Linked DNA regions of Arabidopsis thaliana. The protein of the gene in region 1 interacts with the protein of each later gene in a pairwise test. Each region holds a gene or a part of one and is shown on either strand. Other genes may lie near its edges.

Region 1 (3,759 bases):
TTTCTAAATCAAAACATTAGCATTAAAGGTATGGATTGCGTTAGTTAGAAATTTGTTAGGTTGTGGTTAAGTAAGAAAGCCTAAAGTGAGAAAGGTAGTTGCGCTTTGTTAATAACGATTAACAAGCATTAAACCTAATGACCGATTCATACGTAATGCATTAATAAAGTTATGGTGGATATCAATTAACAAGAAGATGTTAACACTCAACAAAACATTTTATTACGATCTGAACTCTTAACCACATTAAAATTTTGGGTACTAGGATTTTGGAGCAGGTAAATATATGGTGTTGGGAGGGTAATCGTCATTATATTACCATATTTCTAAACCCAAGATTTTATGACGTTTAATTTTTTGGAAAAAAAATTGAGTACTACATTGCATTGGTCAAGAAAACATTAGAAAATCACTTCCGTGTTTTGAGAAGAATAGTATTTTTTCCGACTTGGTTCTGTTGTTTCAATGAGAATATAGGTTTGTGTTTGGTATTTTGAGTCCAACTAAAACTGGAAAAGAAGTCATAATGTTGTCACGTAGTTTTCTTTCCTGAAAACGGACTAAATACATAGTTGCTGAGTTTAGTATTCTTAAAACTAGTCGTGATTTGATTTGAAAATAATATTACATGTATCAGAACTTCTTCTACATTACAATATTGGAATTCTTAATATATATATATATATATATATATAACATATATTCTAAAACAAAAATGATCGTAACATGTGTGCAGAGATAAAAAATAGTTAAATGATGCTAATGGTCCCTGATCGCCATTTGAGTAGTAGCTTGTCAGAAGTCACTGACTACTAGTGATCAAATATACTCTCTCAATATAACATATTCCTCCCTAACTTATAAACTTTTCACATTCATCACAATGTAATGCATTACTTAACTACATTAGGTGGTTAAAACTCCTACTTAATCTCATCAAATGTTTCCGGACAAATCATATTTTAAGGAATATAATAGAAATACACTGAGACTTAACCATTTCAAAACTTTAGTATACATTACACACTATATACAGATATACTGTCTAACTGATAATGTTATTTTGCCCTGTATGATTACTAATCAGAGTTTACGTCTAAAACCGTCCAAAAGAATCCCTTAACTTAGCTAGGTAGCTTTAGCTTATGAAACTTTGACAGACTCAATCAATTCATCACACACGATAAATACAAAGAACTACCTCTATTAAAGACGAGTAATATCAAAGTACGAGGAAATGTGTGAAACCTGACCATTGAACCAAGTGACTTTAATGCTATCGCCAGATGAAATTGATTGCAAATGTATGATATGATAGGAATATAGGAGGACACCACTACAGATAATATTGATTTTTATAGGGACATCAGAAGTTAATATATCAATCACTTCAAAACGTTTTTCAGATTATTAATTGTGAAATCGACCACCGTAACATTCCTTTCCAACTAGGAAAAGGACAATGATGCTTCGCAGATACAACATGTGGTACCATCACCAATTATTATTATTTTTATAGGGAAAAATTATTTAATGGCACACAAAAAAAGAAGAGAAAATTATTTCATTTTTTGTTTAAATCTGTTCAAATAATATCTTTGTCCTAAACAGATAATATCTCATTTTTCATATTAATTATATATTTTCCACGTTATGAAAAAAGAAAAACTGATATTTATTTGTTTACATGATACATTTACAAACCAAAAATAAAATAAAATATACATCTTGCTTTGCTTCGATCATAACAAATCACAATCATAATTGATTTATCTGTTGCTATCATAAAAAGTCAATTAAAATAATTTAGAAAAATTAAACTTTAAGATAAAGTTTCAAATAATATAGGGGATATTATTAAACAGAGATATGTAATAAAAGAAGATAGACAGTAATGTTTTTTTTTTTTTTTTTCATCCGATAGACAATAATGTTTAATTAATATAAAATCATAAGATCACACATTGGATTTAATATTATACAAGTATTTTTGTGATCAGTAGACATTTAATACTATACTAATCCAACAAAAGAAAAAAAGATGTAGTAGGCCCATAAATTGGCTTAGGTTTAATGGGCTTTAGGCCCATAAATTGTTGTCTAAGAAAAGGCCTTGGCCTGATTGGTAACAAGTTGACATAAATTAATTCTTCAAAAATCTCTTCTGCAATCTCATCGTCACAGTCACGGAAATGGCGGAACACGCAAAACGACGCGTTTTAAGAGCATATTACCTACTCATCCATGATGATGATCTGTTGTAAGAATCGAATTCTCTCCTTCCCTCATCTCATCTCCTACCTAGATCTCTCTCTTCTCTTCCTCTCATTTCCTTCTCCCTTACTAAATTTCCTTCTCTAATCTCTACTTTGTCCAAAAGCATTTAACTTTAACCGGAAAAATCTTACATTTTTTTCCTCCTGGATCTCTCTCTCTATATCTGCAGATTCACACTACAGCTGATTTAGATCTATTTCGTAAGTGGGTCTTTCAAAGTCGTCTCCTTTGATCTACTTTGATTCAGGGTTAGGATTAAAAACTTCTCCTTTTTCTATAGTTGCTTCACTGTTTCTATTCCATGGAGAAAGTTGCTAGCTTTAATTTGCCAACTTACTATTCTTATGTGTAATAATCGTTTGCAGGGTCGTTGATTTGGTGATAAGTCAGTAGAAATGGATAAGGAGAAATCTCCAGCACCTCCTTGTGGAGGTCTTCCTCCTCCATCTCCATCAGGTCGATGCTCTGCATTCTCAGAAGCTGGTCCCATTGGTCATGGTTCAGATGCTAATCGAATGAGTCATGATATTAGCCGTATGCTTGATAACCCACCTAAGAAGATTGGACATCGGCGAGCTCATTCTGAAATACTTACTCTCCCTGATGATTTGAGCTTTGATAGTGATCTTGGTGTGGTTGGTAATGCTGCTGATGGAGCTTCTTTCTCTGATGAGACTGAAGAAGATTTGCTCTCTATGTATCTTGATATGGATAAGTTTAATTCTTCTGCTACATCTTCTGCCCAAGTTGGTGAGCCATCAGGAACTGCTTGGAAAAATGAGACAATGATGCAGACAGGCACAGGCTCAACTTCCAATCCTCAGAATACGGTTAATAGTCTTGGCGAAAGGCCAAGAATCAGGCATCAACATAGCCAATCTATGGATGGTTCAATGAATATCAATGAGATGCTTATGTCGGGAAATGAAGATGATTCTGCTATTGATGCTAAGAAGTCTATGTCTGCTACTAAACTTGCTGAGCTTGCTCTCATTGATCCTAAACGTGCTAAGAGGTAATTGGTTTTCGTTTTTCTTCTGTGATTCTCTGGTTTCTTAAATCCTGTTTATAGTGTGGATGGACACGGTGACTATTTGTGTGCTTTTGGTTTGAACCTTAATGCCACCAGTCATTTAGTTGCTTCAGCTGTTCCCACATAACTTCAGCTTTTTAATGAGTGGAGCAAGTGTATAATTTGTTTTTGTTTCATACAATAGGATATGGGCAAACAGGCAGTCCGCAGCACGATCAAAAGAAAGGAAGACGAGATACATATTTGAGCTTGAGAGAAAAGTACAGACTTTGCAAACAGAGGCTACAACTCTCTCAGCCCAGTTGACCCTCTTACAGGTTAGTTTTGACTCATTGTACGGTTGTTCTTTCTTCATGCTAAATGAAACTAAATCTAGCCTTACAACGTTTGTTCGTGCATTGTGATTTTTTATGGGTTGAAAACTTGTGCTCTTTTCTTCCTGTTTGTAT
Region 2 (3,759 bases), 1.7 Mb from region 1:
TTCAAAGCGACAATGCATCATTCTTTTTTTGTTCTTCCCATGTTCTTGTCCTGTCTTTCAAATGAGTAACATTATCATAAATAGCAATTGGACTGCTTCAAAATATATACTTGTAAATGAATAAGATAAAATACTTTTATCAAATATTTCTTGGAAAATCAATATTTGAAACAATGCTCTGGACTCGCTTTTCAATTTGTTAGTTTCTTTGCCAAAATCTAAGGCCTAAGGGGAACAAGGCAGCTGTCTTTAGTTCTACTTAAACATAGACTTTAGTTTCGAAAGAAAGGATAAGAATCTTTGACCATTACAAATTAAGATGACTCGAAATTATTGATTCCATATACTATTTATAAGTGATAATTATTTACATTAGATGTTGATATTATGCGCAGGATCATTCCGAAGTCTCTAGCACCAAGAGAGGTATTTACAAATCTACCATACATTCTAACTAGCAGTGTGAAGAGCTTAACAAATGTATAGTTTATTCTGTATCGTCCAAATATATATTCAGTAAAATATATGTGAATTGAAACATTTTAATTATGATGAATGTGGGGTTTAGATAACCGGTGAATCAATAGGAGAAGTTATAACAGTATCGACTATGCACCAAAGGAAGGCTGAAATGGGTCGCCAAGCGGATGCCTTCATCGCACTTCCTGGTTTGTTTGTTTTTATTATTCTTTTTCAATCTATGTATTTTGTAAAGAATAAAAAAGATGTCTATATATGATCATGAAGGTTAATAAAATTAATTTGTTTGGTGTTATTGGACAAACAAAATAGGTGGATATGGGACATTTGAAGAGTTGTTGGAAGTCATCACCTGGTCTCAGCTTGGGATTCACACTAAACCGGTAATTAATTAAATTCGTTGGTGAACCCCAAAAAAAAAAATATCGTTTAGATATGACTTATGAGTACACATACGTTGAGACTCGAGTCAGTAAAAATACGGTTATCTCGGCAAACCATTAAAAAAAATAAAAAATAGAGATGTTGTCATATACTATGTATTTTATGGAGAAATAGAGATTTTCCTGATGAACTTACACAAATAAGAAGAAGCAAATTTCTTTGTTGGCTATATATGTGGGCATGTGGCATGGGTTGAAGTCTATATTCACATGGAATAATGTCTTAACTCTTACCTCTTGACAACAACAACAACAAAAAAATGTCTTAACTCTTACCTAAGATTTTGTCCCAAAAAAAAACACTCCTACCTAAGATCAAAAAAATAAAGAGAATCATAGTTAAGGTTGTGAAAACTACTCTAAAATCATATCGTACACTAATTAATGCATATAAAAAAGATTAGATTAAAACATGTAATATACACACACGAAGACTTTGTATACATAATACATGGTCAAAAAAATGCGAAACCTGAGAATATGAATTAAGTATATAACATAATGCGAAGTTAAAAAATGCAGGTGGGACTATTGAACGTGGATGGATTCTACGATTCACTATTGACGTTTATAGATAAGGCAGTGGACGAAGGCTTCGTCTCCTCCACCGCTCGCCGTATCATTGTCTCGGCTCCAAACGCTCCTCAATTACTTCAACTTCTTGAGGTTTTTTTATTTGCCTTTCATTACTTTTTGATTATTCTATTTAATACTATAGACTAAATGAACGAATCCCAAAATAGGATAATTAAATTAATTTGTAATCGCAGGAGTATGTTCCAAAACACGACGATTTTGTATCCAAAATGGTGTGGGACAATACCACGGATGCTTTCACTTTGGAAGGCGACTCGTTTTAGATATAGTTCATTTGTATCTTAGTCTACTTTTATTTTATTATTAAAAATCTCGTTTTTTATTGGCCATTTCAAATTTTTGATTTTTGTATACCATGTATTGAGCTTATATAACAATGGAACTTGCCAAAATCAAATTACTTACAAGCCACATGATTACATAATGGATAAAAAAATAACACAAAACCAAGTCCGTAAAGTATCGACAACTAATTATAAGCTAAGAAAAAACCAATCATTTTCCAAGCATTGAGACTTCCATTCTTAAAATAAGAATATGAGGCCCAATGGGCTTGGCAAGAAAGTTAAACAAAAAAAAGAAGAAGACAATTTTACAATTTTGTCAAGTTTTCAATTGAAATAAACCGGTTAAATCCCAATTTAAACCGGATCAATCAAGATATGGTAATCCCCTTCTCCTTCTCCAAAAATCACAACTCTGTTCCAAGTCTTATCCTTTCATCATCATCATCACTTACCTTCTTCACAGAGAGAGAGCTTCATCATCATATGTAATGTGAGATGTCTCTTGAACAATGCAACAAGAAGCTCTCTCTTTCCTCTCGTCCTCTCTCCCTTCCCTTCACCACAATTTTCCCTCTCTTTCTCGCCTCCGCTTCAACAATTTTCCCGCACTTTCCTTCAAACCAAACACTTCATCATCATCTTCATCATTCTTCAAATCCCCAGATATACCCTCTCTCTCCTCCACCACAACAACAACAACAACCACCGAAACCCTAGAATCCTCAATCCACGAGAAACTCATTTACCTCGATTCACTCGGAATCGATTTCCTAACCCTAATCAACCGTCATCCACCTCTCCTCTCCACCGCTCTCTCCGCCGTTGAATCAGTCGTCGATTACATGACCACTCCACCAATAAACTTCACTTTACAAGACTTTCGCCGCCTCGTCTCAATGTGTCCAGAGCTTCTCACTTCACCTTTAACCTCACACACAATCCCAGTCATCACTTTCCTCCTCCGTGAAGTCGGCGTTGACTCTATCTTTGACCTCCGTCAAGCTTTACGACGTCGTCCTCGTCTTCTCGCTTGTAGCGTCGATCACCAGCTTAGACCAACGCTTTACTTTCTCCAGAGAATCGGAATCTTAGATCCGCATAAACATACGTATCTTCTCTCTTGTAGCGTTGACAATAAACTCGTACCACGGATTGATTACTTCGAGAAGTTAGGATTCTCGCGGCGGAGCGCCACCGCGATGTTTAAGAGATTCCCGCAGCTGTTTAATTACAGTATTGCTGAGAATTATGAGCCGAAGTTGAAGTATTTGATGGTGGAGATGGGGAGAGATGTTAGAGAGGTTCTTGAGTTTCCTCAGTATTTCTCGTTTAGTTTGGAGAATCGGATTAAACCGAGACATGAAGCTTGTGCTGCGAAAGGTGTGAGGTTTCCATTGCCGGTGATGTTGAAGACTAATGAAGCTGGTTTTAGAGATACATTGGAGGTATGTTGTGATTCTTCTCCGCCATTGAAGACCTCTCGCCTTGTTACTGTACAAAAAGATTCTTGATTTATAGAGTTTTGTGTGCTAGGAGAACATGGAAGCAAGTGAGTGAGAGTTTCTTGCTTTTTGTTGTTGTTTTTTTGTTTAATGGAGTTGGAGAATTGGTGAGAATTGATGGGGTTTGCTTTGTTTTTAGGTACATTTTTGTAATGAATGATGATGAAGAACTCAATGAATGAAGAAACCAGCCTCTGCCTACATTTTGAGACACACACAGGGATGGTGAGTTAAATCTTGATAAGAGAAAGAATGTTCATTTACAATTCACGATTCCGATGTATTTCGGTCTAGTTATTGTTAGTGAACGAGAAATCAAGTGTATGTAAGTCCAGAAACCGTGTAGAGTTGCGATTTGCAGAGAATTGTGATTCTACAATTGGAGGCAAGATGATGAATGTGTGAACTGATTAGCGTAACGGTTTAGTTATTGGTCTTAAGTCTTAACAG

Evidence for each region. Proteins that work in one complex are often made in the same cells at the same time.
Region 2: the proteins of AT2G31370 (region 1) and EMB3114 interact in a two-hybrid assay, tested with the Arabidopsis thaliana proteins (one large-scale study listed by BioGRID).

Annotation. Positions count from the first base shown.
Region 1 is NC_003071.7:13,376,776-13,380,534, forward strand, and holds the start of AT2G31370 (Basic-leucine zipper (bZIP) transcription factor family protein), read left to right. Parts: upstream 1-2,153; 5' UTR 2,154-2,525; intron 2,526-2,642; 5' UTR 2,643-2,672; coding exon 2,673-3,292; intron 3,293-3,494; coding exon 3,495-3,627; intron 3,628-3,759. UniProt on the Arabidopsis thaliana protein: Putative transcription factor with an activatory role.
Region 2 is NC_003071.7:15,114,865-15,118,623, forward strand, and holds the start of EMB3114 (Mitochondrial transcription termination factor family protein), read left to right. Parts: upstream 1-2,150; 5' UTR 2,151-2,316; coding exon 2,317-3,318; 3' UTR 3,319-3,356; intron 3,357-3,448; coding exon of another isoform or gene 3,449-3,469; 3' UTR 3,470-3,759. Other genes in the region: LOG2 (Putative lysine decarboxylase family protein), read left to right, coding at 396-426, 569-668, 793-863, 1,446-1,589, 1,694-1,783. UniProt on the Arabidopsis thaliana protein: Transcription termination factor required for chloroplast gene expression and protein synthesis in chloroplasts. Necessary for chloroplast photosynthetic complexes assembly by modulating the accumulation of photosynthetic proteins. Essential for embryogenesis.